Linked DNA regions of Mytilus edulis. Each later gene encodes a partner of the first gene's protein in a complex. Links are inferred from orthologs where the notes say so. Each region holds a gene or a part of one and is shown on either strand. Other genes may lie near its edges.

Region 1 (17,628 bases):
ATTTGAACCCTAGTGGATGGTTGTCTCGTTGTAAATGATCCCACATCTTCTCATCTTATGTACACTATGTAATGATGTGATATCTTTAGGGTAATTTCGCAACAGGTGTACGAAACCTGGAAAATGTTATATGGAGAAGAAAGTTTGAACACAACCTTTGATTGTTTCAGTGTATCTATGACTAAACTTGTTAGAAATGCATTGACGTGCCAATTTTCGTCCGTTTGTCTTTACAGATATTCTATTTGAAAATCGTTTTTATATCACTTTACATGCTGCACGCTACATTTGCAAATTATATAAACTTTATTTATAAGGTATTGTTCCGAATGCAATAACTGAACCAGCAACTAAACGGTAATGGACAGAGGACAACTGGATTGGCGCTACACAAGTAAAACGGTCGCCGGCACGAAATGGTTGACCCAAACCCACGTGTCTAAATTCGCAATAAACATTATTCGCGGACTAACATATTTTTAAGATACCAGGAAAGTGGTCCGACTGAACATATTCGTTTTCTACTATGTGACATGGCAGGAAACGTTAACCTCGTCCGCCATCGATCAGCATGGATTCCATGCGATCATCTGCGTTTTTCATCTGTTGGCAATCATAGCACTTATATTCGTATTTCGTTATTCGAACACCGGTAAACTCATGTTGCCTTTTATCAAATAGTTCATAAGAATTATCTATTAGTACTCAAGAGTATAACAGGAATCGCGAAAATATTGGGCAATACAATAGACACATGAATAGACCACAGCCACCACAATCACCAACTCATTCGAAAAAGTAGACGAACAAAGACAAATAACATCATGTTCCTGTGTTTGAGGAAGAATTTGAATACGCTGCTACACAGGATTGACTTTGTTCGGGATGTTGTATGCATGCTTTAATGGTTTTGTCTCTGGTCTAACTCTTACTGAACTGAAGTACAAAAGCAAATCTCTCAGAGCTATTGAATATTTATTCAAAGGGCATTAACTCTTACTTTATTTTTAATGTATTATTTGGTGTTATTTTCACGATAGGGAAATACCTTATATGTGTTTTTCTAATTTTATTTGCCAAATGTTTAAAATCAAATGTGATTTCTTTTTCAGATAAAGAGACAACATTTAGAAGAAACAGATTTTTTCTTTAACATGCTTGGTATTATGTGTTTTAAGAAATGAAGATAATTAAGAACTAGACTCAACAATTGACTTTTGTCGTCAATATTCATAAGAATGATTATGCCTTTAAAACCAGATTTGATTAAGGCTTAGACTTGCAGATTGAACAGACACGTCAATTAATTAAATCGTTTTACACTTTCTATTTTGAAAAAAATAATTGCTTAAAATACAATTAAAGTCGCAAACGTCCTAAGAAACAGACAGATATTCTCTTCCCAATTATGTTTATTCTCAAGATTCCATAATTGTAGCACACTGACTTAAATAAGAAAATGCCTGTACCAAATCAGGAATATGACAGTTGTTCTCCAATCGTTTGATACGTTTGAGCTTTTGATTTTGCAATTTGAATACGGACTTTTCGTTTTGGAGTTTGGTATTTTTACAACTTAACAAAACCTAATATGAAGAGTAATCTCTCTCTATCGTTCCCTGATTCTCATTTTTGTTACTTCTGCATCAACACAAGCAACGAAAATAACATACAATACTGTAAACCATTGACCAACAAACATGTTTTCAAAAAGAAAAAAAACATTTCAAATTTAAGAAACATCTGTGACTCTGATATTGCTTTTCTACCTCAAGAATAGATTACCTTAGCTGTATTTGCCAAACTTTTAGGAATTTTTGGTCCTCAATGTTCTTCAACTTTGTACTTTATTTGGCTTTTTTTATCTTTTTTTATTCGAGAGATACTGATGAGTCTTTTGAAGACGAAGCGCGCGTCTGAAGCATATACAAAATTTCAATTATGGTATCTATGATGAGTTTAACTAAACTAAAAGTAAGAACATCAAATCTTATTTGGAGGAAAATAACCTTTCAAACACAAATTTAAAAAATGATACACGATGGGAGATACAGTTCCCTCAGACATCAGGTCTGTAAGATTCCTATAATTTAGGACAACTATATTAAATTTATATAAAAAAAAAAGTAAAAAAAGTAATATAGCGTAGACATGAAAAGAGGGAATATCTAAATTAAAACAATGGACAGATAATTTCCTCCAAAATTTCACACAGTAGCTTCTTAATAGGAAGAAAAAGAAGGGTATTAACATTAATCTTTAACCTCTCTTTCCACTATATAGATGATCTCTAACCTAATAATTTAAAGTTTGGTGACTAACGGTTGAATGTATCTATCCAATCCAACTTGAGATAAAGGATATAACAGATACAGTTAAATTTACCTCAAATCTTGACTTAAATCTAGAAATTGACAAAAAGGGTCGATTGAAAACAAAACTTTACAACAAAAGAAGATGATTTAAGCTTTCCAATTGTTAACTTTACATTCCTATGTTGTAATATTTCAGCAGATCCTGCATACTGACTATATATCTCTCAGTTGATAATATGTGTTACGGCTTGTATTTCCTATCGTAATTTACTTGATAGAGGTTAACTGGTCACAACCAATGAAACGATCTATCCAAGATTTTTAAGTTGAGAAGTTGAAATCATTCCTTCGAAAATTTTATGGACGCCATCACGATTTGTTCGACCGTTCTTGAATATCTGTTTTAACAAATACGATGGATATGTTCCAATTGTTGTTACCACAATCCTGTCCACTTTTCCCCATAGATTGTTATCTTCCAAACAAGACTTATCGTCGGGTTTGTGAGTATAAATCCCGAATGACGCAAGCCAGTGCTTTCGACTAGGATTGTCAGTTTCCATCTAAGGTCTGTTATTTTCTCTGATCATCCCCTTGTCCTCCACCGATTCAATTTTCTACAAGTCTCGAAACTGAAAAAACAAGAGGCTGTCTTGAACGAATGACTGCTGTAAAACTAAGAAATTGTTGTTTATCTCCTTGTGTAGACTGGTTCGCCTGTCTAGATCAATGTGCATATTACATATTTCATATATCAACAAGGTGATTATATATAGCGGGATCCCAGTCTATCTCCTTGTGATACATAAATTCGCATATAAGTAGACATAAGTCCGTTGTGCTTAGGATGTCAAATAAATTTAAAAAAAAAAAGTGTCGGAGTATGTTTTAATAAATCTACACGATAAGTTCCCACATTGTAAATATGATTAGAGACATTTATGTTAAGGTCAAGTTACAGCAAATGAGCTATTTCACAGATTTCAGTAAAAAAAATATACAACTTTGGCTCGTTGATCTACAACTGAAAATCGAAAAAATAATGGATTTATCTCATTTATCATTTGAAATATTACTAATTGAATTATTTAAAAATGGGCCGGGTAAACATTCGATGAATGCATTATTTTTTTTCGATTTTCAGTTGTAGTTCAACGAGCCAAAGCTGTATGCAGAATTTTAGCAAAATCTGTGACACACTAGTAGCCCATTTACTATTCCTTGACCTTCAGCTGAATTTATAAATTTCAATTGAAACTAGCTGCCACGAAAATGTTAACACACCGTAGATCTTCCAGTACTAAAATTAAATAACAATATGAACGTCACACATTATATTTCTGTGATTGTATCTTACGATTCTTTACGACAGATGATAAAGCAAATCTGAAATCAAGTATATTTCCATGCCTTATCCGGTATATCATGCACTGTGTTATAACTCTAGATTCTACTGACGCGAAAGGGTAACACTAGGCCACCGAAATCTGAGTTTTAGTGCAGTCTACATGGCCAGGTGGACTGGTCCAGATACTAGATTGCTGGACACAGTTCATGCTATGTTGTCCCGATATACCAATAGTATGAGTTCGAATCCCGACGAGGAAAGAACTAAAATGTGTTTCAGCAAATTAGAATGAATGATCACTGTTAAACTTAGTAGACATGCTTTAGCTTATTGTGATGCATAAATTCGCATATAAATAGAATTGTGTACGTTGTGCTGGGAATGTCATATTAAATAAAATATGTCTGGGCATGTTTAAGACTGCACGAACAAGAGCCCTTATTGTAAATATGATTTAAGACATTAATGTTATAAGCTAAACTTATAAACTTCAATTCAAACTAGATGCCACGAATGGGTTAGCACACTGCAGAACTTTCTTTTCATTTGATAAGGGACTTGCCGTTTTGCATTTTCCTCGGAGTTCGTTATTTTTTTGTGATTTTACTTTTCTGGAAAAGGTAATGGGACAATCGCCTTTAGTTATCATAATGATATACTAGTACTCCGTAAATGTTTCTCCCTTCTTTCTTTTTCCATACACCGTGAAGTTTACTCCTTTATAATTGAATCATTCTATGTGTTCTTTTTTGGTAATGCTCTTGTCGATTTCCTTGTGTTTACATCGGATCCCTCATACTCATGATTTGTCGGTGTCTGCTTTTGGTTTGTTTGACTATATATTCGATTGGTGTCTTGTTTATTCCCCATCTAGTGATCTAGTTCACTCCGTAAATTTATAGACACCATCAAGAATTGGTTGATCTATACGATGTTTCTGTGTCTAACATATATAACTAAAGACATTTTACGACGTCTTAGATAGTTATACAGAGAGTGAATTTACATTGCTATACGACGTGTCTCGTTGTTTTATACATCCAACATTCATGTATTTATTTTTGATGTTTCTGTTATGCCTTCTGTTGTATAATGTGTTATGTCTTATCGTTTGTAGTCCAAATACTTATAAATCTGCCTTTCAGTGTCATCATTGTCATGAAAACTGTTTGGAAAAATATTGTGAAAATAATAGTATAAAATTCAAGATAGCATGTAAGTTACGTAAACGCGTCACTGGTTCTGATACCCTGTGGTGTCTGTCGTTGGTGGAATATGTTCATTGTTGTTCTGTGGTTAGCATGTTGTCACGGTCGACTTTTATATTATTTGTTGATTTTCTGTGCCGAATGCTGTGCTAGCCATTAAACCTGGTGCAACTCCCTATTATTTCGTAAAATGTCCTATACTAGATCAGGAATATGGCAGTTCCCTCTACTAATGTTAGTGTTTGTTTTTGTTGCACTTCGGTGTTCCTGTGTTTCCTCTTATAAGTTGATGTGCTTCCCTCGGTTTTAGTTTGTGACCTGGATTGGTTTTCTCTCAATCGATTTCAGAACACCGGTAAACTCTAGGGTAAACTACTCTTGCCTTCATTCAAGTATAATATCTGTACTTCAGGTTTGTTTGTTATTAATTATTATGAAAATATTCATTATTATCATTATTAATATCATTAACTTTTTAAAAGTGCATATTTCACAGACGACAAAAGTCCAATCAAATCTTTGCTTAGCGTATATGAACAGAAAAACATCACGGTACCGTACAAGACATTTATTGACTCACCAGATAGCCCTTCCGTGAGGAAGAAAGAATTCCAAACATCTTTATTTAACAATTATCACCTTTTTGTGTCAAATTAAACGTGTAATTCTCACTGCATGATATCGACCAGTATTATTTAATCAGAACTTGTCAATCTTTGAAAGATTAGGTTTATATTGTATGCGACATTACCGAATACTGATAAATTATTTCATTAATCATTGAAGAAAAGAAGGTCTCAGTGTCAGAGAGTTGCACGGGTTTGACTGGCATCTCACTGCCGTTTCATTCTGTGATTCTCTCCATTGTATCAAATCATTGATTTTTGTTGCTGAAATATGCTAATAAGTGTAAAAGACGTTTATATTCAGTTCATACTCTGTGCTGCAGTCATTTCCATTAAAACCAGTCAGTATCTGACGTATTCACTCAGCTGCACTATTTCAGAGAAAACAATTTTCTAATGAGAAGTTGTTGCTTTAATCATGCAATAAACGTATTAACGGATTTAGAACTATTTAAATGAAGTCCTGATTCAAGCTTGTCGATGGCCTATCTGTTTAAAAAGCAAATTTTCAATATGGCGATTTAAAAGAACTTCAATTAGTTTAATTGAAGAGTGGAGCTGGTATGTCAGTAACTGCTAGTAGTTCTTTGTTAATTTATGTTGATCATTGTCATTTTACTTAGTTTCTTCTGATACCTTTTCTTACATCGGAATCGGACTTCTTTTAAACTGAGTTAACTGTGAATTTTTCTGTCAGTTTGTTTTTATTCTACATTGGCTAGAGGTATACTTAGAGGTTTGAGGCCTCATCAACCGTGTTGGCGGATATTCGTTCAACAGTTTCAAAAAAGAAGATTTTTTTTTAAAGCCGTAGCGGCCATGTTTTCGGAGGAAACAAAAAGTAAATCATTTTTTTCTAGATAACCCAAGAATCATTCACCTTAATTCAAAAAAGATGATATGGTATGATTGCCAATGAGACAACTCTCCACAAGAGACCAAAATGACACAGATATTTTAACAACTATATGTCACCGTACGGCCTTCGACAATGAGCAAAGCCCAAACCGCATATTCAGCTATGAAAGGCCCCGAAATGACAATGTAAAACTTTGGTGTAAATTGGTTTAGTAGTTTCAGAGGAAAAGTTTTTTTAACGTTAGAAAACATGATAAACAAATTGTGTAAAATTGTCCTTAAAGAACAATAAGTCCTAGAGGGGTTAATTGATCATATTAACTTATTTGTAGATCTTACTTTGATGAACAGTTTTGCTGTTACAATTTATCTTAATCTATAAGAATATTCAAGGTAATAACAGGAAACTGCAAAATTTCCTTATAATTACCAATTTAGGGGCAGCAATGGTTGGGATGATGCCACTAAATTGGTAGTTGGGTTGTTAGGTTCATCTAAAAATTTCAGGGCTCATAGAATTTGGCCTTACGAACATTTTTCCCGTCAGATTTGCTCTAAATGCTTAGATATAAACCAAAAACTGCATTTTACCCTATTTTCTATATTTAGCTTCGGCGGCCATATTTTTTTGTACGAAACTGACAACAAAACACAAACTTTATTCTAGATATTCTAAAGATCATTCAGCTTAAGTTTGGTTGGAATTTGTACAGTTGTTTCAGAGGAGAAGATGTTTGAAATAGTTTACACCGCTCGGACGTCCGGACGACAACAGACGACAAAAGCTCACTTTTCCTTTGGAAAGATGAGCTAGAAAGCTTATGGATAGTAGTTTAGTAACTAAAATAAGCTAACAAAAAAAGCAGAAGCACTGTCATGAAACAGAACAAATTTTGACAAGGTGAAAACAATGCAAAAAAAGCCTCAACAGAAAAACTAGTTTTGCAGGCAAACATCGGCATGATAAGCCAGACCAAGTATTTGCCAATTTCTTTATATCATTTACGCATCACAGTTTACAGCTCATTCAAGAGTATGTTTAAAACCTGCATACCTTAATATTAAACTATGTAGGCCGTATATATGCAGTTGTTCTCACATGTGGAAGGTCTGGTGTTTCTGATTTATAAAAGAGTATAAAAGAATTTCGTACATATTCGCTTAATGTGGGTTTCTTTACCAGGAGTATGCTCCTTGTACTCGATTTGCAAGATCAAGCATGAAATCAGGCATTTTGATTGGTTGGTTTTGGAGTATGAGAACAAAAAACAGACTCGAAAGTTTTATGACTTCAAGGTCTGAACTACTGACGTTATGCTGCTATCAATGATAAATTACTTCTATAATTGATAGAGGAAAGGACATGATTTTTATCTGTCCACTACAATAATGTTTCGACAAAAGATACTAGACGAACAATACTAAAGTCTCAAATGAGTCTTTATTGGTCGCCAGACTTGATGACAAATGCATTTATATGACAAGCCGATTTGTAATATCATTTTATTTTTTTTTAATATATCAAATCAAATTACATGATATTCCCTGTCTGTTTAGTGAAGAATGATCATACCTTTCAAATCAAATTATTTCATATCCCCTTCCTGTTTGATGAAGAATGGGCATGCAGGTGTCCATTCACTATTCTGCATGCCAAAGAACGTAAACAATCGCCAGACGTCTGTGGTTCTACGATTTAAACCTGCTGACACATTTTGCGTACAACAAACAACAAATACGATACAAAAAAAAATGTGGAATGATTGGCAATGGGACGAATTTCCACCACAGACCAAATGAGTTTATGTTACCATCTAGAGATCTTTGTACGGCCTTCAACAATGAGCAAACCGATATCTTAGAGTAAACTATAAAGGTCCTGACATGGAAATGGATAATTAACATAGAAAACGTAAAAGCTTCTTTTTTTTTATCGAAACCTTTAGTATTAAGCTTCCTGTTTAAAATTTAGATATCAAAATACAGGACAGGACAGTTTCCATTGTTAGTATATATCAGCTTTATTCAAATTCAGTCCAGCAGGAAGACCGTAACTTGACCTATAATGGTTTACTTTTATAAATTGTGAATTGGATGGAGAGTTGTCTCATTGGCACTCATACCACATGTTCCTATAGCAATATACAATATAAAGGATATGAAGAAGTTAGAATAATGTATACTATGCCGAAATATGAAAAGTACCGTAAGCAATCACTACACGATAAGTGCAGCCCCCAGTCCCCGTTTAGAACTTTTAATTGGTTTAAATTGCATTTCACGGTTCTTCGCTTAAACTCTTGTGTAGTTTTCAACTATATTTCTATATCTGAAGGAATTTTTTATTTTATATTAATCAAATCATGTAAAATTAAAATATGATGGACACTATTTGTGGTTGATATTAAAAGTTTATTTAGTTATTGGCCCTAATCTCCTGACTTTAAGGGTGGAAATTTTGCCAGCGGGCTGTGTGTAAAACATCTTCAGATGAGCCAAGTTTCAAAATCCTCATAAACAAATACCAATGATCATCAATGCTCTCTCTTGGATTTTTACATCTTAATTGTGTTTTTTTCCACTTCAAACTTGCCAGGTAGCTGGGCAATGATTCAGAGAAAAAAAAAGAGAAAAAAAGTTAATAATCAAATCTATGGCGAAAAGTCTGTTCAGATATCTACCAATACAATTTAGAACATTAAGTTGATAGAGGCCTTCTTACAAATCTCACTATTTTTTGTCAAAATATTATCTGTATTCTATAGTGTTATCAAGGATTTGTATAGTAATCATTGGTCGGTTATAAAGGGGCATAAGTTAATTAACACAAAGTTATAAAGGAATGTTTGTAACGTTTATTTTTCGCTAAAAAAAAGAGCAAGAAAGTAAGTACGGTCACCCATTTTTTTCTTTTAATTTCTAAAAGCAATTCATAAGGATTGATGGCTTATCTTCACATTTAATATTTCAAGATTAGACCACTTATATTTTTTCAGATTTTTTTCTAATCTTACATTTTTTTATTTTTCTTTACCTCGTGTATCTTCTAAACAAGCTCGGTAAAATATGAATCTAACTAACTGTAAGTGTTTAACGACCTTGAATAGCTATACAGTAATATGAATCTGAAAATAGCACAATTTTGTTATACCCCATACATTCCGGAAATATTGTCCGTGTTTGTAATAATTTATTATTTTAAAATAATATAAGTATCAACCAATCAAAAATTTGGTTGCGTTCTTTTAAGCCCCTATTTCTCATTGGTTGTTTCGAAAGCCCACCATATTCGAATGTTTATTGTTTTCCTGTTTAAAAATGAAGCCTAAAACTGAAAAAGATAAGAATCAACACATACAAGTTGCAGTTCGTTGCAGGTAAAACTTTTTTATTTTACAAAAGAGTGAGAACTCAACCGATTGCCAAATTGCCCGGAACCAACTCGCCCAAAACTCAGGCTCTCAGCTTTTCACACATGAATACAGAATACAGAATGAATCTTTGTGAGTCCTGTTAGTGCAATTACTGTGGAGGGGTCTTTTAAGGGACAACATATGCTATGGACGTACAGGTGACCCTAGTCCGAGATTACTCTGACGTCCAACGGCTGTTTTGCCAGACAAACTGGGGCTGTGGCGACCCCAGCTTGTCTGGCAAAACAGCAGTTGTACCTCTTCTTCTTCTTCCGAATACGGGAGTAGACTCCTAGGTTGGAGTGTAAAACTTCCCAGAACTTGTGTGCTATGTACATATGGACTTAATTTAAAAATAATATGACAAAGAAAAATCGTTTACAATAACATATACATACATAATTTATGTACAGTGGCTTTGTAGTTTAATAAGTTGTTGTTGATCCTTCAAATGTTAGAGTGGATATGCCACTTTTGAAGGATTCCAGGTTGTCAACATACCTATTGCTTCAGGTAGTGAATTCCAGTCGGAAATAGTGCGGGGATAGAATGAAAATTTATAGAAATCTTTATTTGTTGATATTTGCCTAAATTTATGTTTCCCACAAGTACATGTACGTCCATCAGATATTGTTAAATTGTCCTTAGGAACTTCAACTAACACCCAATTTATTTTATACATCATAGTTTTTTTCCTTCTTATTTCTAAATTTTCCCATTCCAAAGATTTAATTAAATTTGAAACTGCTCCAGGTGATCTGTCTTTATAATCATTGAAGACAAACCTGGCTGCCTAACGCTGTACCTGCTCAACCTGAGTGATGTGTTGTTTTTTGTACGGATCCCAGACATGGGAAGAGTATTCGACGACTGGACGGACAAGTGATGTGTATGTAAGGTTTCAAACCTTACGTGTGCAGTTTTTCAAGTTCCTACGAAGAAAACCTAATGTTTTATTTGCCTTACAGGTAATATTGTTTATATGTGTTCCCCAATCAAGATCATGGCTTATAGTTACGCCTAAATATTTACTGTCTTTTACTGCTTCTAAAACATGATTGTGCAATATATAATCAAAAGAGGAAGGTTTACTTTTTTTACTTACCTCAGAGTAATCTCGGACTAAGGTTTCCCGAGCTTTAATAGAATTTTAATAGGGTTACTCTGGATTTGTGCCTTGCTACCAATGCTGCTGCGCTTCAGTGCAGGAGTGAATAATATCCTGCTGACCTAGATAACCTGTGTTCATTATTCTCTAGTTTTTCCATTACTTTCAATAGATATAAATAAACAATCGATAATCATTTGAAAACTGGTCAAATGTTTTATATTATAAGTAATCGAAATTTAGGTTTGCTATGTCAACTCCAACAAGATAGAGGTCTTTGCCTGGATCAGTGTAAAAAAGAAATAGATAACTACAAATCTTTATGTCAAGCAGATTTGAATGAGATTTTCAATTTTTACGACAAAGTTCACTTTGCAATGAATCTTCTTGCACATCATGTACAATCAACTTTTGGATTTCTTCTACTAAGTGGTCTGTACAATGTTTGGAAGCATGCTTAGTGTAAGCCTCCCAACAAAATCAAAATTTAGACTGTTATGAGTCTGAGGTATTGATAAAGGCTTAAAAAACACCTTGTGTAGATTATAACCATGAATTGAAAAAATAATGTATATATTTATTAACTCTTATTATGCTTATTGGTGTTTTGAATACGCAAACATGTTGTACATTTACATTTGTGACTTGAAAATGTCTGCTAAAATATCTCCCCCTCAGCTGTCATAGCTGGGAGAGAGACCTCCCTCTTGGAAGGTTTCAAAATTTTTCCTGAACAAGAAAAAAATAAAATTAATGAAGCTAAATGATTCAGTGCCACAATAAAAATATAAAATTATGAAACATTTGTTTGTGTTAATACATATAATTTTGCTGAATGTAAATCAACGTGATATACACTGATGCAAAGCCAGAACTTATCTACAGACTCCATCTACCTTTGTTATCAACAAGTTTTTTAAAGGTAAACTGTTTTTTCTATTGGAAAAGTTGATAAACGGTCAACCAGCTCAGGCAGCTGTGTTGCTTTCTTCTTTCTATAAAAATAACATACAATATTTGCTACGGTTCCTGAGATTTCAATTATGAAAACTATGAGGTCATTTTTTGCTGCAGCAAATGTTATAATAATTCCAGTCAGGCAAACATGTGTAAATTAAATTTTTGCAGGGAAATCTGGCAAAAAAAAATATAATTCACTTTCAGGAGTGATTGAAAGACTTTTTTAAGTGTTAAGATTTTTTTGTGAAAAGACCAACAATTTCTAAGAAATCTTCAGTTTTGTAATTCATTTGTAATTTACATTTATTTTTTATCTATTTTCAGGGGTATAAACTCTTCAGAAAAAAGGCAAGGCTCCTATTCAGTTGTTGATTCCAATGGAGACAAGAAGGAGATAACAGTTAAAGAACGCTTAGGAATCAATCCAACTACAAAGACCTACAATTTTGACCATGTCTTCCCACCAGCAGCCTCTCAGCTTCATGTTTATACCAGCATTGTTATACCTATTATTGAAGAAGTGTTACTGGGATATAACTGTACTATATTTGCGTATGTTTGAACAATAATCTGGCTGTTAATTAACAAGAATGTATATTTATGTATGCAAAGAATGAGTAATTTTTCCAAAGGAACCATTGATGATAATAACCTTCATTGGTACTATTTTACGAACCCTCTTGGATTAGTTTTTCATTATCTTAAAAATCAGCTGAAGAGGTCAAAATGAAATAAGAGAACCATTTATGATATTGATATTATTTATAAAGTCAATTAATGCTTCATTGTAATTATTATAAGCATTGGCACTTTTCACTTCCATGAAGATTATGTGGTCCTACACCTTCATGACCTTCAGTCATGATTCATTTTCTTTGAATGTTTACATATTGCCATTTTAATTTCAACATTTTGCATTATACTAATTAATATACAATAAGGGATCTATCTGTGTCTACAGTTTATTAAATTGAAATTGCACATGTTTAAGTTATATGAACAATTTTGAGAACATATATATGGAGTTTAAACAAGCATTGGAAAATGTGATTTGTCTTGCACAAACAGTAATGATCAGTCAGCAGTCTCATCTAAAAAACATTTTTCATTATTAAGATCTTTTGCTTCTCACCTTCAGATATGGACAAACAGGTACAGGAAAGACATATACAATGGAAGGAGAGAGAAGTGATGACCCCAGTGTATCCTGGCAAGAAGACCCATTGGCTGGTATCATACCTAGAGCTATGTTTCATATCTTTGAGAGACTTCAGAGACAGGTAAAAGCGATAACTAAGTGTAGAAAACTTTCAACTGCTGACGATACTTGTGTTTGGTTTTAATGTTCCCAAATTTATGAAATACATTGCAACAAAATTTGTTTTTAAATCACAAGTAAAAGTAGAAATGAATTTATTTTTAAAAAATCTGCTTTGCTAAACTAGTTGTTAACATGACTATTTCCAGTTTTAGTTCTCTATCTAAGCTATTAATTTATTTATTTCTTACTTAATTTGTTTGTTTTGAAGGATGTTGAGTTTTCCATCCGTGTGTCTTTTCTGGAATTGTACAATGAAGAATTGTTTGATCTGTTAGGATCTACAGACGACCCACTTAGACTCAAAATATATGAAGACAGTTCTAGAAAGGTTTGTTGTTTGAAGAAATTATGTTTTTGAAATTTTTTGTCTTATTTTGTGCTTACAACTGACACAAGATGAAATTGCACAGTGTTTTAAGGGAAAATCAAGAATCCTAGTGCTCTGGGTTTGTTTCTTCAGAATGGTAACAGTATATCTTTGACACAAGATATATTTTTGTTTGGAAATTTTCACAAATGTAGTTCAATGTACAAAGGTGGCCCTCCAAACATTTTTTTCACTGGATTAAACGATATATATATAATACAAGATATTTTAAAGTAAAATTAAGTTTAACAGCATTGTCAGATTATTTCCTTTCAATTGACTGAAGGATGATTATAAAGAAAATAAATACTTGAAAAATGAAATTATGGTTTTTGACCATGCTATAAATATTAACCCTTTCGCCGATGAGTCCCGTTTTACTGGGATTGTAATACCTCTTTTATATTTCCGGCTAAAAACAGTGCAAACATGAGTTATCTTTCTTTGTTGAATACCTGGATGAAAGTGTTAACATGGCGCTTTCGTTGTTGAAAACCGTGTCAAAATCAGAGGAAATTTAAGGAATTTACGAGAATTTGAAATGAGGGAACATTTTTTTTTAAAGAATATGGAAGACTTGAAGTCAAACTAGTATACTTTTTTGACATAAAATGTTGTTTCTTGTACAAAACACTTGGAATGGACATCGTTCAGTGTAAGGAATTTGTACAGCCTCATTAAGTTTTTCAATATTTTGCCGTTTTGGGTAAAAAAAAATACGATTTGGGGCCAAAGAGCAGAATTTTAAGAACTTCACCTAGATAATGCTGAAAATTTGAATATTTTGTGAAGAAAAAATTATCAAAACATGAACAAAACTGTGAACATGGTGTTAGTGAATGAAATAAAGACACAAATAACTACAGACAAGTTTTTATTGACATTTATTATGAAGATCTCCAACTTGAGTAATAGTAGCCAGGGAAGCCACCGTCTCAGAGTAGCTTCTGTCTGAGCAGCTATCAGTGAAAGGGTTAAAACAACTCAGAGCCTTCCCAGATTCATTTTAACATTTTAATTTAGTAATAAAGGGTGAAACATTGTAATCATTGTTGACTTCTGATTTGTGTTCTCGTCCAGTATCTTTTGATTACACAGATGTTTATTATCTAGAGTAAATCCAGGGCTCACGCTACCAGGCGACTTGGGCGAAGAAGTCGCCTTCCCGACCGTCACTTCGCTTTCCCCGACCCCCAAAAGCGAAAAACAAGTCGCCCTGTCCATGACGATACTCGCTTTCAGTCGCTTCCGTCATCAGACATTTTCAATTTTTACCAAGCTGATGAAACATCAGTTTTTTATTGATAATTAAAGAAATTCAGACATACACGATTCATTATCTTTAGAAAAGAAGTTGAAGCATTGTCTTCGCAGTGTGTAGCAGTTTATTTGATAAAAATACAACTTTTTATCACTTCATGCATTTCTGCAAGTTCTGGTGCTTGTTACTCGAAAACGTACATCAACCTGAATTTCGGCGTCAAAATAAGTTTATTTAAACGTGATAAAAGTTGCCTCCAGTAAATTTTTAATCCATTTATTGCATTAAAAACTTCATGTTCCTTTCCAAATAACTTGTCAAACATCGTTTATTTTTGTAAATTTTCTTGCATTCGTCCGCCATTGACCGATTTCTAAACTACGGATCTGAACCGGGGCAGCTATGACCGAAATCCGTACTTTTGCAATAATTACTACGGACGAACGGATGGAACAGCTGACAGAAGAATATTGATCCCAGAGGGAAAAATTACGCATTCAACACGCATAAAGAGACTTTTGGTTACATCTACATGATCTAATTGATTGGTGTATATAATTCCATATATTTTTTATGGATTGTTTCAAACTATTGATTAAAGTTGCTTAACTCTGAGACTATCATACTAATATCAATATATTATGGCCCAGCTTAATAACTTTTATATTTTTTTATTAGAAACACTGAATTTCATACACAAGATATTTTAAATTAAAATGTAATTGATATATAATAATTTCTTTACATTTTTTATTTTTTTTATTATTTTTTTTAGTGCTAGATATATAGTTGGTAGCAGGGTTTCCGCTGGCGGTCGCCATTTTCGCAATTTAAAAAAAAAATTGTGGCGATAAAAATTCGTCATTTGCGAAAGAATTTGGCGAAAGAAATATATATAGAACGATTTGTTTACCTCCATCTTGTTAATTTACTTTTTTCGAGTTTCTCGGACTGTACCCGATCAGACAATACTCGGAATTCACCTTGACCTCATTAAGATTTGGACAGAAAATCAATAATCAGCTGATTGCATTTTATAGCTATCGACATCAAAGGACTAATTAATAAAGGTGTTGATTGAATTGTTTGTCAAAATGATATAGTTAAGTGGCTTCCGCTAAATGTCACATACAGAATTTATTTACCACTTTGCGACGCACGTGTTTGAAGCAAACTTTTGACGTCTCCTCTCCTTTTAAAGATAGTTTAGAAAAGAAAGCTGTTGTTGTGACGAAAAAATCAAAAGCAAGAAAAATCTCCGATTTAAAACTTTAATTATCCTTTGACTTTAATATAGGTAATTGATTAGGGAGACTACTTTAAAGTCGTTTGAGTGACACGTGTGTTTCAAGCATAGTTTTACGTCTCAACTTTTTCATTTACGATGGTCAAGAAAAGAAAACTGTCATTATAAAGAAATCTACCCAAAAGTTTGGGAACAACCCCTCGAATGAGAGTAGCCCTTCAATGTTATGAATACACATCAAATGAGGGATCAAAATATCATGTGATAAAAGCTTTTGTTTTGTTGTAAAAACCACTTATTAGTACAAAAGGGCACATCAATATTTTTCTTTTAAAGAAACTTTCCCTACGAACTATACTGGTATTATATAATCAAAAAATGTCCATTAATTTTGTTGTATTCCAGGACTTATATCTTCTTTATTATTAAAAGTATAGTGGCCCCCTCATTTAGAAAAGTTGTTTAAAATACAATGAATATTTTTCCCTTTTATGTTAAAAACAAAATCTGTTGTTTTAAAGTAAATGTTTAGTGTTTATTCATTAAATGTAGACTCTTAAATAAGTTTGACAGAATAAGCATAGACACAATGGGGCAAAAAGGGGGTGTAAGTAAAAAGGTAAATTTTAAACGAAAAATATAGTTATGTTACCTGGCGAAAAAAATAATAAAGTGGCGATAAATATATTGTTTTGGCGAAAGAGGTGGCGAAAAAAATAATTGACCAGGGGAAACCCTGGTTGGTAGTTTTTCACAAGAACTTTAGTAAAACTTTAACAACTTTTAATTTCAAATGTAACTTTAATTGTAATTTTTTTACTTAGATATGAATTGAACAATATAAAAAGAACATTATTTACATATATTGCCCTTTATACTATTGTAAAATCCAAACATTGCAGCGCACCGCACGAATGAGCACTTCTCTTTCAAATCTCACCACTTCTCCCTATCAGTTTCAAAAAGAGAAATCACTTCTCCCTATAATTCTGAAGTAGTGTGAGCCCTGAAATCCCAATTTCACCACCCATGATAAGTAAACCTTGTGCCATTTGTATATGAAAAAAATCTCTATTATCAAATACAAAAAAATGATGGAGTAAATTTTTATGTTAATTACTATTTACTGACATATTTTAGGGATCAGTTATCATTAATGGATTAGAAGAAGTGGTTGTAAGATCTAAAGATGAAGTTTTTCAAATAATAGAAAGAGGATCTGCCAAAAGACAAACGGCTGCTACACTGATGAATGCTCATTCAAGGTGAGATAACTGAAAATCTTGATAAAATTACTAAAATGGGTGAATATTTAATCCTCCCTTAAAAATCATCTCTTGAACTGTTTCCTAACTTCCTCTTTTCATTTCTCCTACCCACATCCCCTTTCTGCTCAAAAACGTTTTTTTGTATGAAAATTATATATTTCATTGTTCCAGTCACAGGGTTTTCACTTTAAATGATTTAATTAATTCAATGTGGGAATTTTTAAAGAGAGTTTACTCAAAGACCACATTTTTGAAGCACATTCTAATTGTGTGCAATAAAATGTTCAAATAGCATTAATGAACAAATGTAGAACAAAGAAATATCTTAT
Region 2 (17,423 bases), on another chromosome or scaffold:
GAGGGTCCCTTCATGAGGAATAACGGTAAAAGTTCTTACCATATGACGTTAACGGTAATCTTTGGTGTATGACGATAAAATGTACACTTTCTTTTAGATGATAAAAACATCGACTGATTTTGACAAATCACTGTAAAATTTTAACCAATTTGACAATAACAGTAGCCGAAATGACTGTTTGACGTCTGACGTTAAGGGCATTATTACCATCCTGCATGATTGGGTAGTTTTGACAACTTGTAATAATTTTGTAAATTTGTTTATCACAGAAATAATTATTTAAAACTGAGTTGAGAATCTCCTAAAATGATGTATACCTGAAATTCCTGGATTCTTATATTCTGGGACTACTGGTAGTCCAAATAATTAAGTCTTTCCACTTTTCTGTGGAAAGACTTATTGTTTTTGTTCTGATTATTATTATTATTATTAGGTCTTTCCACTTTTCTGTGGAAAGTCCTATTGTATTTGTTCTGATTATTAAGTCTTTCCACTTTTCTGTGGAAAGACTTATTGTATTTGTTCTGATTATTAGGTCTTTCCACTTTTCTGTGGAAAGACCTATTGTTTTTCTTCTGATTATTTTTTTTTTTTTTTTCTTCCGCCTAATTTTGTTCTTGCGATAAACATTTGTTTCGCAATATGTCGCTTAGATATTTGGTATATGATATCGAACAGTTTATGCGCTTTTGAAATTTACCCTGCGTAAACGAATACTTTTCTTTGTAGGAGTTATCTCCCCAAACACTGTTTTCCTTGTTAGCGCATCTCCTTCGCAACCGTAAAAGATTATGACAAATTTATTTTACAAAATTGCTCGTTATATCCTTCGCATGATTTGTCCTATTTTGACCGAAGCGATATGACCGCTCCATATGAGAGTTATTTCCCCTTATGCATCTGATATGAATGATATGAATTTCTATCTTATAAATCATAAGTGATAGAGACCTAGGATCTTTTGATTTGAGGTCCTTGGTCCCAAAAAATGAAAATTAGGTCAAGGTCAAAGGTCAAGGTCATATTCTAATATTTGAATTTGGCTTATTTTCACTTATATCCAAAGACTGTATAAGATATCAACAAATTATTTTTACTAAATTGTTAGTTGCGACATGTCGTAAGATGTAAATTTTGATTGCAAGCGTACGTTGAATGTAAAAGGGAGTTTTCTCCCCTCTTGTATTTAAAAATACGCGTTTGGTGATATAACTCATTAACTAAATATAATAAAGACCTATGGTCTTTTGATTTGAGGTCCTTGGTTTATGACCTTGAAATTGATCTCAAGGTCATAGCTTAATTTGACGTTCTAGATTTTGACCTTTGCTTTTATTCTATATGTATACATGATAAAGATATACAACTTTTAGAAAAAGGTATCAAACCATTTAACCTTGTAAAAAACAACCGGAAGTGACCTTTTGTAAACCGGAAATAGCTATTTTTTTGTACTTTATTAATATAAAAGTATATAGAACCAGATATTTTTGGAATCAGTGTCAAGTAAATATTCAAATATAATCGAAAGTAACATTTTTCAAACCGGAAGTAACAAATTATCTCCCTTATTTAAAAAAAATGTATGGAAACAATATATTTTTGGAATCAGCTTACTAGGAGCTATCATTTGACGATTGAAATGACATTTCAAACTTAGTTTCACAACTTTTCATATCAAAATACATTGTTTTGATGGAAAGACCTTCAATTGTTCTCTGAACAATTGGTTTTTAATTATTATTATTTTTTTTTTCCGCCACATTCTGAAATTTTTGTTTCGCAATATGTCGCTTAGATATTTTGTATATTGTATCGTATAGTTTATACGGTTTTAAATCTCACCCTGCTAAGACGAACAATTTTCTTTGTAAGAGTTATCTCCCTATTCACTGTTTATCATTTGTGTGCATCTCCTTCGTAACAAAAAAGGATATCGACAAAATTCTTTTTCTTAATTGTTCGTTACATCCTTAGGAATTTTTGGCTAATTTGGATCGAAGCGATTTGATGAAATTTTATAGGAGTTATATACCTTTAAACAATAAATTTGTCGGAATGTTTTTTTAACTTATAAATCATTAACCGTACAACCCTGGAATGTTTTTATATGAGTCCCCTAGGTACTAACTTAGAAAATGAGGTCAAGGTCAAAGGTCAAGGTCAAGTTCTCAATTGTGACTTTTGCTTGTTTTCGCATTTTCTCTGACACTTTGAAAGATACATATAAAAGAACAAGTGCAAAATGTCTGCTTTATTGTAATGAAGATATGCTATATTTAGACTTATACAATTTAATGGCATCTTATAGGAGTTGGTGCCCCTTAAAGGTCTTGATATGAGGTTATTTCATTATAACTTCAACTAAGTTCATTCTAAAGGCATTTGACCTTGTACAAAAGGTTAGGTGACAAATGACCTTGAAAAATGACTACCGGAAGTGACCTTGAGAAAACCGGTAGTAGCCTTTTTCGCAATTTTCTCATATCAAAATACTCAGAATCCATGAATTTCGTCATATAGATACATAAACTGATTACTGAAGACTAAAAATGACTTCCAACAAACGGAAGTGGCCAATTATCTCCCATTCTACATACAAAAGTATATAGAAACTATTTATTTTTGGAATCAGTGTGAAAGAAGCTTTCATATGAGACCGGAAGTGACATTCATTTCACCGAAAATAGCATATTACCTCCCTTATATCACTCAAAAATATAATTAAACCATTATTTATCGCATCAGAATGAATCTCCTTATCAAAATTTCTTTGATGTGGAAAGACTTTCAATTGTTCTCTGAACAATTGGTTTTTAATTATTATTATTATTATTATTTTTTTTTTTTTTTTCTTCCGCAAAATTTTTTTCTTGCGATAAATGTTTGTTTCGCAATATGTCGCTTAGATATTTCTCATATGGTATCGTATAGTTTATGCGCTTTTAAATTTCACCCTGCTAAGCCGAACCATTTTCTTTGTGAGAGTGATCTCCCTATTCACTGTTTATCATGTGTGTGCATCTCCTTCGTAACAAAAAAAGATAGCGCCAAAATTCTTTTCACAAATTGTTCGTTACATCCTCAGTAATTTTTGGCGTATTTGGATCGAAGCGATTCGATGAAATTTTATAGGAGTTATCTACCTTTACGGAATAAATTTGTCGCTATATTTTTTTAACTCATAAACCGTTAACCGTATAACCCTGGAATGTTTTTATTTGAGTCCCCTGATTCCTAACTAAGAAAATTAGGTCAAGGTCAAAGGTCAAGGTCATATTTTAGATTTTCATATGTCTTTGATTTCCCTATAATTCTTGAATGGTTATAGATACAGAAAATTTAAGCAGTGAAAAATGTTGAGTACTTCAAGGGGCAACTTTGTTACTTTATGATTGTATTGGTTTTACCATTATGTAAGGGACATAACCCCCATTGATGGTTTATAAAAAGCCATTATTAGGCAAAACTCTTAAACAAAAGGTCCTTGACCCATAGGGTCTTTTGCAATGACATTGTGAAGCAATGACCTTGACAAAGGTCACAAGGTCAAAGGTCAAGGTCATGTACATATGTGATTTGGGGCACTACTTGAAGAATATAATGTGTGTTTGCCAACCAACCAATCAATCAATCAATCATGATCATGATCAATCAACCAATAATGATCATGATCATGATCAATCAATCAATCATGTTTCCGTCTCATGTGTTTATTATAGGGTTCAAGATATTCTTTGTTTCTTTTTCGCTGTTTCAATTGACCCTATCCATCGTGTTTAACCAACCAACCAACCAACCAACCAACCAACCAACTAATCAATCAATCAATCAATCAATCAACCAATCAATCAATCAATCAATCAATCATGATCATGATCAACCAATCATGTTTCCGTCTCATGTGTTTAATATAGGGTCCAAGATCTTCTTTGTGTCTTATTCCGTGTTTCAATTGACCCTATCCATCGTGTTTAACCAACCAACCAACTCACCAACTAATCAATCAACTAATCAATTAATCAATCAATCAATCAATCAATCAATCAATCTGTATGACTGTTTATTCATGAGTTTATTGAAGGAGCAAACTCTTATTTATTCAAGAAAAAATGAAATTTAATATTGTTCTTACGTCACTTCTGAAAAAAAAATCCACATGTTCTCTGAAACTACAAGTACAATCGACCTCAAAATTTGCAGTCAGCAGGGCATACATGTACTAAAAGTTTATAAAAAAACTTGGTGCAGATATCTTTCCCAGCTTTTCCTAGAGAAAAGAAATGGCAATGCCGTAAAAATCGCTTGCTAGGTCCGTAAATCTCAGTAAAAACCTACAATAAAATGTCCGCTCTGAGATTGAAATACTAATCTGTGTTACAAACAGGTGCTGAAAAATGTACATTATCAGAAAATAATCAATAAATGTGTTTTAAAGTTACACCGGATCAATTAAATCCAAAACATGCACTGCTTGTGAACTGTCATCAAAATGTCAATTTCCTACAATGACAAAAGAAATTACATTGTGTGCGTTCCATCTCTAAACATGTTGTCTGTTTAACGTCCCGACCTAAAGAGAAATAAAAAGACTAAGTTTTCGTTATTATAAACCCAAGTCACGTGATGTCTCCTAAATCTGGCGCGCGCGCTGTACCTAAAATAAAATAAAAACTTTCCAAACTAAACATGAAACTTCTCCGGTAACAATAATATAGACCCCATACAGAAACAAACAAACAAACAAACAATCAAACAAACAAACAAACAACCCCCCCCCCACCCCAATTCAATTAATTTTAAAGGGGGGAAAGACCGCCTACAATTGCTTTTTTAAAGCAATTGATTTATATTGTAAAAAACCTTTTTAACCATTCTGTTCCGTTAATAAAAAAAAAAAAAAAAAATTCCCGAGACCCCCTTTTGTCCCCCCCCTTTTTTTTTTTAACCCTCCACTTACAACTGCATGTAGGTTGTGTGCTATCTATTCTATCAACGTAAAACGAACGACAACTCCAGTTTTTTCCATATTATTAGGTCTTTCCACTTTTCTGTGGAAAGTCCTATTGTATTTGTTCTGATTATTATTATTAAGTCTTTTCACTTTTTTGTGAAAAGACTTATTGTATTTCTTCTGATTATTATTATTATTTTTTTTTTCCGCCACATTCTGAAATTTTTGTTTCGCAATATGTCGCTTAGATATTTTGTATATTGTATTGTATAGTTTATACGGTTTTAAATCTCACCCTGTGAAGACGAACAATTTTCTTTGTAAGAGTTATCTCCCTATTTACTGTTTATCATTTGTGTGCATCTCCGTCGTAACAAAAAAAGATATCGACAAAATTCCTTTTACAAATTGTTCGTTACATCCTTAGGAATTTTTGGCTAATTTGGATCGAAGCGATTTGATGAAATTTTATAGGAGTTATCTACCTTTACAAAATAAATTTGTCGGAATGTATTTTTAACTTATAAACCATTAACCGTACAACCCTGGAATGTTTTTATATGAGTCCCCTAGGTACTAACTTAGAAAATAAGGTCAAGGTCAAAGGTCAAGGTCAAGTTCTCAATTGTGACTTTTGCTTGTTTTTGCATTTTCTCTGACACTTTGAAAGATACATATAAAAGAACAAGTGCAAAATGTCTGCTTTATTGAAATGAAGATATGCTACATTTAGACTTATACAATATAATGGCATCTTATAGGAGTTGGTGCCCCTGAAATGTCTTGATATGAGGTTATTTCATTATAACTTCAACTAAGTTCATTATAAAGGCATTTGACCTTGTACAAAAGGTTAGGTGACAAATGACCTTGAAAAATGACTACCGGAAGTGACCTTGAGAAAACCGGAAGTAGCCTTTTTTGCAATTTTCTCATATCAAAATACTCAGAATCCTTGTATTTTGTCATATAGATACATAAACTCATTACTGAAGACTAAAAATGACTTCCAACAAACCGGAAGTGGCCAATTATCTCCCCTTCTACATACAAAAGTATATAGAAACTATATATTTTTGGAATCAGTGTGAAAGAAGCTTTCATATGAGTGGAAGTGACATTCATTTCACCGGAAGTAGAATAGTATCTCTCTTATATCACTCAAAAATATAATCAAACCATTCATTTATCGCATCAGTATGAAGAATCTATCTTATCAAAATTTCTTTGATGTGGAAAGACTTTCAATTGTTCTCTGAACAATTGGTTTTTAATTATTATTATTATTATTTTTTTTTTTTTCTTCCGCCAAATTTTTTTCTTGCGATAAATGTTTGTTTCGCAATATGTCGCTTAGATATTTCTCATATGGTATCGTATAGTTTATGCGCTTTTAAATTTCACCCTGCTAAGGCGAACCATTTTCTATGTAAGAGTTATCTCCCATTTCACTGTTTATCCTCTGTGTGCATCTCCTCCGTAACAAAAAAAGATAGCGACAAAATTCTTTTTACAACTTGTTTGTTACATCCTCAGTAATTTTTGGCGTATTTGGATCGAAGCGATTCGATGAAATTTTATAGGAGTTATCTACCTTTACAAAATAAATTTGTCGGTAAGTTTATTTAACTCATAAACAGTTAACCGTATAACCCTGGAATGTTTTTATTTGAGTCCCCTAGGTCCTAACTTAGAAAATGAGGTCAAGGTCAAAGGTCAAGGTCAAGTTCTCAATTGTGACTTTTGCTTGTTTTTGCATTTTCTCCGACACTTTGAGAGATACATATAAAAGAACAAGTTCAAAATATCAGCTTTATTGTAATGAAGATATGCTACATTTAGTCTTATACAATTAAATGGCATCTTATAGGAGTTGGTGCCCCTGAAATGTCTTGATATGAAGTTATTTGATTATAACTTCAATTAAGTTCATTATAAAGACATTTGACCTTATACAAAAAGTTAAGTGACAAATGACCTTGAAAAATGACTACCGGAAGTGACCTTTAGGAAACCAGAAGTAGCTATTTTTGCAATTTTTTCACATAAAAGTACTCAGAATCCATATTATTTGTCATATAGATACATGAACAGATTACTGAAGACTAAAAATAACTTCCAACAAACCGGAAGTGGCCAATTATCTCCCATTCTACATACAAAAGTATAGAGAAACTATATTTTTGGAATCAGTGTGAAAGAAGCTATCATATGAGACCGGATGTGACATTCATTTCACCGGAAGTAGCATATTATTTCCCTTATATCACTCAAAAAGATAATTAAACCATCATTTTTCGCATCAGTATAAAGAAACTACCTTCTTATCCAAATTACTTTGGTGTGGAAAGACTTTCAATTGTTCTCTGAACAATTGGTTTTTAATTATTATTATTATTTTTTTCTTCCGCCAAATTTTGTTCTTGCGCAAAATGTTTGTTTCGCAATATGTCGCTTAGATATTTCTCATATGGTATCGTATAGTTTATGCGCTTTTAAATTTCACCCTGCTAAGGCGAACCATTTTCTATGTAAGAGTTATCTCCCCTTTCACTGTTTATCCTCTGTGTGCATCTCCTTCGTAACAAAATAAGAAAGCGACAAAATTCTTTTTCCAAACTGTTCGTTACATCCTCAGAAATTTTTGGCGTATTTGGATCGAAGCGATTTGATGAAATTTTATAGGAGTTATCTACCTTTACGGAATAAATTTGTCGGTATGTTTTTTAAAGTCCTAAACCGTTAACCGTATAACCCTGGAATGTTTTTATTTGAGTCCCCTGGGTCCTAACTTAGAAAATTAGGTCAAGGTCAAAGGTCAAGGTCATATTTTAGATTTTTATAAGTTTTTCATTTCCCTATAATTCTTGAACGGTTATAGATACAAAAAAATTAAGCAGTGAAAAATGCTTGGTACTTTAAGGGGCAACTTTTTTACATTATGACTATATTGATTTTACCATCATATAAGGGACATTACTCCCATCGATGGTTTTTAAAAAGCCATTTTTAGGCAAAACTCTTAAACAAAAGGTCCTTGACCCATAGGGTCTTTTGCAATGACCTTGTGGAGCAATGACCTTGACGAAGGTCACAAGGTCAAAGGTCAAGGTCATCAAATCATGTGGTTTTGGCACTATTTAAACAGTTTTATGAGTGTTTGAATTTCAACCAACCAACCAACCAACCAACCAATCAATCAATCAATCAATCAATCAATCAATCAATCAATCAATCAATCAATCAATCAATCAATGTTTCCGTTTCATGTGTTTGATACGGGATTCAAGGTTTCTTTTTTTCCGCTTGTTTTAATTGAGCCTATCAAACGTGTTTAACCAACATGTTTAACCAACATGTTTAACCAACGTGTTTAACCAACCAACCAACCAACCAACCAACCAAACAACCAACCAACCAACCAACCAACCAATCAATCAATCAATCAATGCATGTTTCCGTTTCATGTGTTAAATTTGGGATCCAAGATGTTTTTTTTCGCTCGTTTAAATTGAGCCTATCTAACGTGTTTAACCAGCCAACGTGTTTAACCAACGTGTTTAACCAACGTGTTTAACCAACCAACCAACCAACCAATCAATCAATCAATGCATGTTTCCATTTCATGTGTTAAATACGGGATCCAAGATGTTTTTTTTCCGCTTGTTAAAATTGAGCCTATCAAACGTGTTTAAACTACGTGTTTAACCAGCATGTTTAACCAACGTGTTTAATCAACCAACCAACCAACCAATAAATCAATGCATGTTTCCGTTTCATGTGTTAAATACGGGATCCAAGATGGTTTTTTTTCGCTTGTTTAAATTGAGCCTATCAAACGTGTTTAACCAGCCAACGTGTTTAACCAACGTGTTTAACCAACATGTTTAACCAACGTGTTTAACCAACCAACCAACCAATCAACCAATCAATGCATGTTTCCGTTTCATTTGTTAAATACGGGATCCAAGATGTTTTTTTTCGCTTGTTTAAATTGAGCCTTTCCAACGTGTTTAACCAGCCAACGTGTTTAACCAACGTATTCAATCAACATGTTTAACTAACGTGTTTAACCAACCAACCAACCAATCAATCACTTAATGTATGTTTCCGTGTCATGCGTTTAATACGGGATGCAAGGTCTCTTGAGGTTTTTTTCCCTTGTTCTAAGTGACCCTATCAAACGTGTTTAATCAACCAACCAACAAACCAACCAACCAACCAATCAATCAACCAACTAATCAATCAATCAATATGTATGACTGTTTCTTTATGACAGTATATTGAAGGAACAAACTCTCAATTATTCAAGAAAATTTTTATTTTATTATTGTTCTTACGTCTCTTCTGAAAAAAAAATCCACATATTCTCTGAAACTACAAGTCCAATCGACCTGAAAATTTACTGTCAGCAGGGCATACATGTATTGAAGGTTCATAAAAAAACTGGTTGCAGATATCTCTCAAGACTTTTCCTAGAAAAAAGAAATGGCAATGCCGTAAAAATCGCTTGCTAGGTCCGTAAATCTCAGTTAAAACCTACAATAAAATGTCCGCTCCGAGATTGAAATACTAATCTGTGTTACAAACAGGTGCTGAAAAATGGACATTATCAAAAAATAATCATTAAATGTGTTTTAAAGTTACACCGGATCGATTAAATCCAAAACATGCACTGCTGGTGAACTGTGATCAAAATGTCAATTTCCTACAATGACAAAAGAAATTACATTGTGTACATTCCATCTCTAGACATGTTGTCTGTTCAAGGTCCCGACCTAAAAAGAAATTAAAAGACTAAGTTTTTCTTAATATAAACCCGCGTCACGTGATGTCTCCTCAATATTGCGCGCAGCGCTGTATCTAAAATAAAAGAAAAACTTTCCAAACTAAACATGAAACTTCTCCGGTAACATAATAATATAGACCCTTTACAAAAACAAACAAACAAACAAATACCCCCCCCCCCCCTTTTTTTCCAAATCAATCAATAAAAAAACCCAATTATCCATTCATCAGAGGGGAAAGACTGCCTAACAATTGTTTTCAAAACAATTGCTTTATATTTATGTTTTTTTTTGTTTTGACACCTTCCAGCGGCCGATGTTACTTTGTAAGGCGTCAAAGCAAAACGTATAATAGCCTTTGAAGACGTCATAACTATTTTGACTAGGACTGTTGGGTATTAACCATTATTGATATGATTGTAATTTGTATCTGCATCTTTTTTTTTATATGCTACCAATAGTAAAGGCTTTAGTGACTAAAGGATGTCATTTTAAAGCTCCATGTTTCTGATTTCTTTACATCTTACTTTGCCTTTGGTCCACAAAAACATCTGTGCATCGCATGATTTCAAACTGGTCAAAAAAATTATTGAGTTCATAGCTAGAGGTTTTGGTCCCTTGAGACCTGAATATCTCAACACTGACAAGAATCAAGTCGAGATACAGCTGCACGACTCCCCCTTTTCTGAGTATACTTTATACATTCGTTGTGATTAAAGCAAATGAGTTCGTGAGTATCTCTCAAAATCTTGATTTAAGTCAATATCTCGTTGTTTGTAACTATAATTTTAACAGTAAATGTCCAATACTTACTGTATAGTTGAGTTTACATAGCACGCACGTGTTGTTGTTTTGGTTTAATTAATCGGCAATCTTTTTGTAGCCGAAGTTTCGTATGAAATAGTTTATTATTAAAAGGAGAGTTACTATAATAATGTATATTCCAATTTATTATCATAAAAGTGTATAATTATTTTTAACTATAGTTTTATTCATATATTATCTTTATTCGAAACAAATCATCAAAATAATAATGGCAGAAGACGGAGAAATCGACATCGAAGGAGATTTTGAATTTAAACTAGAGTTAGCATCGTTTTGTCAATATAAAAACACATAAAGCATTGTCCTATAAATTTTTCAAATAATTGCTCAAACCATATTTTTTTTAATTTACATAACATAACTGACAACTGACAAAACTGACATCTTCTTGCGAAAAACAAAATGTGTATAGTCTGTACTTTTTAGAAAATAGCATAATCTAAATTAAGTAAAAGATATTGAAAAGTGCATTTTTTCAATGGCAGCATATTTTGGCAGTTGACTTTTCGCAGTAAACAGATATATAAATGGACGAGTTGCTAAATCAATCCTGTAGTTGAACTCTCTGGCCTAAAAGAATCGGCATTCTCTAAGCTAGTCCAAATAATTATGACATTTTGAAAGTCTTTCATAATTTATTGCTTTGACCCCTTACAGGGACTTTAAGGCATCAAAGAAAAAAAATATAAAAGCCTTTCGAGACATCATAATTATTCGGATTACCTCCAAGTCCAGTTTATGGTATTCTGTAGGTGTCACTGTTGACACTGGATTGTCTCTATACAAATATGAAATTTTATTTTGATTCGGTTCACATGTAACAATACAAACATAAGCTCTGAAGAGCTTTTTACCGTATATAAATTAACATAAATTCAATATGCAGACAAGATATATAACAGCACAGGCATATTGAAATACATGCAAAGCACTAATAAAATACATATCTAAACAAGCCAAAGCACAACTAAAATTTAGGTACAACTGAAAATTAAGCACAAATAAAAATATAGCACACATGCAAACATTTAAGGCATACTTACATGTTAAAGCAACTTTTAAAATATGAAAAAGCTTATCTACATGCAGGACAACAACAATTTGAACCATTCCAAGACTGTATAAGGCTCTTAAATTAAGAAAAAAATGTTTTCAGTCCTAAAATGGTCAGATAGGCTGTTCGACAGAGTAGTAATTGCAAATTTAAAACTTTTCTTACCAAACTGTGTAGTTTTTACATGTGGTATATCCAGTATATCTCTAAAAGAATATTTACAATCTTTTAAATTTAATAAATCATGTAAGCAGACTATAATAAAAGTAAATATTAAATTCTCGCATGTACAATTTTCACTCTCGTAAACTAACTCACATGTACTTTATTAAAAATTTATGTATGAACGTTATAGTTTCAAACTTGGAAGACCAATAAAGTACATGTTTGTTAACAATTACCCAACTGGCCCTAATTTGAGAACCGATTCTGTCATTTTGTATCCGTCACAAATTTATTTAAAAAAAATAATAACTGAACTTGATGTCAAAAGCGAATATAGGATTGCCAATAAATTAAATCAAATTTGCTCAATGTGGGAATGTTCAGAATCATAAATATGGCAGCTGGTTTAATGAAACTTGCAACTGACTGATGGAATGAAATAAACTCTTTCTTGTCCTCCCCCTTCCCCTATAAAAAAAGAACAATAATCAAGGGAAATAATTCAATCATAAAAAATATGGGTTAACTTGACCCATAAACAACTTGTACCATGGCAAGATGGACCACAGGACTCGAAATCAAGACACAACAGTAAAATTGAATTGAAAAATAAGATAGAAATACTGATGTATTAACAATGTTTTTCTTCAATTGGCGGGGCTTACAGTTTTAATTTGCATAAGGACTCCTACTGTTTATTTGAAGATGTGTGTGATCAGGATGATTCCCATTACAATCATAATTACTGATTTCTTATCACCTATCATCAGATCATAGTCACCAAACTGATAGCCTAAAGAATTGATTTTGTGAAATGGGAAAAATAAAATAGATTAAAATCTACAAATTTATAAAAATTTTAAAAAATCCTACAAAAAGTTTTATCCTGTCCTAAAAAAAAATTCATTTAAAATAAAAGGAATCAAAAGTATATATGAACATTATAGAAGAATAACGACAAATGCATTTTTTTGTAAGCGTCATAGTTACATTATATATTTACAATTGTTTAAATGTGACATTTTTAACATGATTTTATACTTAATTTAACAACAAAATCAACGTGTTTGTCTCATTATTTACATTGTAAACACACATATAAGGTTACATATTTTAACAGAATCAATGTATATGACTACATGTATGACTGGACACTTCATTGATGAATTTATCCTAAACACCTGTCTGTAGATGGACTGGTCTATGATAAGCTTATTTGTTTAACCCTGCTAAGTGAAATAAATCAAGTAATACCAACCCTTTTTTTATGATGTAACCTTAATCAGACATATATTATTTTTTTTGTCAGATAGTAGCTTTTGTTTATGTCTTTTGTTATGCATGTGTTACAATGCATATATTTACAAATGAAATAGTTGAATTTCTGCTGTAATCTGTGGTGTATATTTTCAGGGCAAACGATGTTTACGATACAAATGAACTTCCATCCAAAAGTGCTAATTTGCTACCTGAGTACACTAATCCAGCATGGATGCTTGAACAGGTAAAGAGTATATGACTGCACAAGTTGTTGTATTTAAAAAGTAAAATCACAAAAAAACTGAACTCTGAGGAAAATTCAAAACAGAAAGTTCCTAATCAAATGGCAAAATCAAATGATAAAACACATCAAACAATTGGACAACTGTCATATTCCTGACTTGGTACAGGCATTTTCAAATGTCAATGAATGTAGAAAATGGTAGATTGAACCGGGTTTTATAGCGCTAAACCTCTCACTTGTATGACAGTCACACCAAATTTCATTATATTTACAACGATGCGTAAACAAAACAGACACAATAGCTAAAATTGTCAAAATAGGGGATACCAAACACCTTGACGAAAAATGATTTGGATTGTTTAATTTTCATGAAATTTGACAAAATATTTACTTGGACCCATTGACAAGAGAATAAAAAAAAATAAAAACTTGAATCACACACTTCATCAAAAAAAAATTCATTGGATATACCGGTATACATTGTATCAGTTTGGCTTACACTAATTTTGATCACTGAGAAGCTTAAATAATATTGCCTATAGATAGAAGTAGATTAACACATTCAGCTGGTTTTTACAGAGTTATCTCCCTGTAGTGTTATATTCCATCTTAAAACACTCAAATAAAAATAAAACAACAGACTCAGGAAAGTAAAATTCATGTGTAAACATAAAATATAATTTTTTGATAAATTTGAACTCCCTGCCGACCCTTATGAATTGGATTCAGGTTTTTATTTCATAAGAATAGGAGTACACATCACAGTAAATATGTATTGTCTTGAAATATATCTCTGCAGATCTGGGAATTTCTGAACCAAAGTGAGATATATATAAATTGAGATGAACCTTTTAGTACAAAACATCAGTTGTTTTAACATTTCATGATAGGATAAGGATAATTTAAAAAAGAAAGTTGTAATTCATTGACAATGGTACTTTTTGAAACATTCATAGACAGAGTTTGTAAAGTTTCAAGTAATTTTTCTTCGCACAAATATTATCATATGTTGCACTTAAACAATGAATTAGTTAGTACATGTATTTATAAAAAATTTGTAAGGGTTCCGCGGAACCCAGTGTCTCGCCTATTTTTGCTGTAAATCGCAGACTCAACAACAATGAGGAAAAAAATCAATAAAATATTCCTCTTGTTACTATTTTATGATTGTAAGAAAATCTAAGTCCATTTAAAAGTAAATTACAGAAAAAACGGAGTAATCTTTTTACAAACTTTACTTCTGGATACAATCTTATGATCATAAATAAGCTTCTGTCCAAGTTTGGTACAAATCCAGGATAGTTTAAGAAAGTTATTAAAATTTTAAAAACTTTAAACACAGAGTGAATGTAATGGTTCCCCGCAGAAAATCTAAGTCCATTTAAAAGTAAAATATGGAAAAAATGGATTTATTTATTTACAAAATTTACTTCTGGATACTATCTTATGATCATAAACAAGCTTCTGTCCAAGTTTGGTACAAACCCAGGAGAGTTTAAGAAAGTTATTAAAATTCTAAAAACTTTAACCACAGAGTGAATGTAATGTTTCCCCGCAGAAAAAACTAAGTCCATTTATAGTAAAATACGGAAAAAATGGAATTTTGTTTTTACAAAATTTACTTCTGGATACTATCTTATGATCATAAACAAGCTTCTGTCAAAGTTTGGTAGAAATCCAGTATAGTTTAAGAAAGTTATTAAAATTTCAAAAACTTTAACCACAGAGTGAATATTTGTTGACGCCGCCGACGACGCCGACGACGACGGAATGTAGGATCGCTTAGTCTCGCTTTTTCGACTAAAGTCGAAGGCTCGACAAAAAGAAGATGTGGTATGAGTGCCAATGAAACAACTCTACATCCAAGTCATGTAATATTTAAAAAGTTAACAATTTGTACATATTCTGATAAATGATTTGAATTATAAACAAAAGCTAAAGGTAAAGAGACTTATTATATGTATTTTGTAATTGCACATTCATTGTATCATTACAGCTTTTCTGTAGAAGCATGCATAGCAAATCTTTGATTAACTTGCTCGCTGTTTTTTTACTATGTTTTTTTACTATGTTTGCAAACAATTAAGATCAATTAAGTAGGCAGAGTTTATTTGTTTGATATATAAATTGGGATTGTTAATGTTTTTTGTCCAATTAAATTCACGGATATAGTATACAGACTGAAACTCTGCCTACCTGTTGTTTGCAAACATCCAAACAAATATACATGTTTGATCAATGGTTTGATTTGCATGCTTTTATAGAAATACTCTAATAGTTATAAATGTTATGTTTTAAAAAACACATCCATCTTTTTTGTTATCTCTACTGTAGAAATTAAAAAAAAAAAAAAAGAGTAAAACCTATCTAATAAAACTGAATTTTAAATCATACAATGATTTACTGTGTAAATAACTGCATTAAAACATTATTAACACTGTAAATGAAAACACACATTATTGTAGGGATGGAGTATGGATAGTTACATTGATGAGAAGTCTAAAGCGACTATCGAGAAAATGTTACAGGAAGAACAATATTATATGAATGGTCAGAATCGTAGGCGTAACATGAGAAACTTGACAACTCACAAGCAACCCTGGAGTGAAGAAGAAAAGAACATGTTTTATAAGGGATTGGTAGGATATACAATTTTATCATACTCATAGTATTAGCATGATTAACACACCAATAGTCATATTTAGGGGTCAAGTTTTCCTCAGAATGAAATTTGAAAAATGGATAAGACACAGACTATAATTAATCATTTTGTATTTGCTTTATACCTGAGACATAAAAAAATCTGACAATTACTGAGACTTAAATATCCATCCTTTTTCAAATGTCAGGAAGATATATGTAAACACTTAATTCGGTTTTGCTGGTTTGCAACCTATTGTACTTGTCCACTATCTATTTTTGTGTCAGATATCATTGTACATAGTTTTTTTTGTCTCTTTTGCAATGAAAGTTGTGAAAGTGAGGCTAAGGCTTGATGTTTCCAGTTTCAGTGACATAAAAAAACATTAAAATGAGGGCTGCACAAGCAAGACAGTAAATAGACATTTCAATTAACTATTTATTGATCAACATGAAATATAATTATATATGTTTACCTTATTTTTAAGTCATAATTAACATTATAATCTTAGTCATTGATGTTTTCTTGTAGGAGGTATATGGTAGAAGCTGGTCAAAAATTGCAGAGTTAATTCAAACCAGAACAAATCTACAAGTGAAGAATTTTGCACAACAATATTTTAAACAACAGGTTTGTTTATAGTTTATCAGAATAAATGTTTAGTCCCTCCTTTGTCAGACTTCTAATCCTGTTATACTTACAATGTTGTACATGTTGGGTTATGGTTAGGTTGTTTATCATTTGTTGTCAGGTTACTACAACTGAGAAGCATTCCTTCAATTGCACAAATGAGGCTGTTTGAACAGTTTGATGATTCTTTGCTTTAAAAAGTCATATTATGTATTGTGATTTTATTTTTATATGGTTCCTGATGAAATTTCATACTAGTCTGTACTGCTTATTTTTCTAAATTCATATTCAAACAAATACAAAGTGACAAAATCTAAAAGCTTTAATGATTTACATAAACACAACTGTTGTCTAGCTATATATTGGTCAGAAAAGAGTTATTCAGATAGATAGTGAAAAAGGCATGATTCCGTACAAAAATTATTTTAGATTTTTTGATCTGTCATAAATTTTATATCGTTGAAGAGAGCATTCATTGTATTCTTCTTGAAGTTAGGGTCATCTTGTCACAAAATTCTTAAGGAGCAATGTTTTCAAATCAAACAAAATGAATTAAGGAAATTTATGCTAAATGTTTGCACAAAATGTTCTCACAAATCAGTCATTTTATGAAGGTAATTTGAGTCGTTTAGACTTGCATGTTACTTTGTATTGTCTTGTGTTATTTTTTTAATTTACTATTATTTCTAGGAAACTTAGCTAAATGTCATTGTATACCACAGACAAAAATTGCAAGCATTAAAGTCTAGCATTTAATGAAAAATGAAAAAGAAGATGAGCTGTAATAATCATACTCTGGTAATGATTGCAATTTGCTTAGATTGTAAGTGCTGAATTAGTTTAAATGGTGTTTTAAATTGTAC

What was found.
Region 2: kinesin-like protein KIF11 (region 1) and histone H2A deubiquitinase MYSM1-like share a complex: the UniProt entries of both Homo sapiens proteins name them as parts of the large chromatin remodeling complex. The link is inferred for Mytilus edulis from reciprocal best matches to the Homo sapiens genes KIF11 and MYSM1.

The regions. Positions count from the first base shown.
Region 1 is NC_092347.1:26,021,602-26,039,229, reverse strand, and holds the start of kinesin-like protein KIF11, read left to right. Parts: upstream 1-9,595; 5' UTR 9,596-9,673; coding exon 9,674-9,732; intron 9,733-12,160; coding exon 12,161-12,388; intron 12,389-12,974; coding exon 12,975-13,116; intron 13,117-13,365; coding exon 13,366-13,485; intron 13,486-17,171; coding exon 17,172-17,296; intron 17,297-17,628. UniProt on the Homo sapiens protein: Motor protein required for establishing a bipolar spindle and thus contributing to chromosome congression during mitosis. Required in non-mitotic cells for transport of secretory proteins from the Golgi complex to the cell surface.
Region 2 is NC_092344.1:113,161,733-113,179,155, reverse strand, and holds the start of histone H2A deubiquitinase MYSM1-like, read left to right. Parts: upstream 1-10,722; 5' UTR 10,723-10,774; coding exon 10,775-10,827; intron 10,828-13,198; coding exon 13,199-13,289; intron 13,290-15,754; coding exon 15,755-15,928; intron 15,929-16,461; coding exon 16,462-16,560; intron 16,561-17,423. UniProt on the Homo sapiens protein: Metalloprotease with deubiquitinase activity that plays important regulator roles in hematopoietic stem cell function, blood cell production and immune response.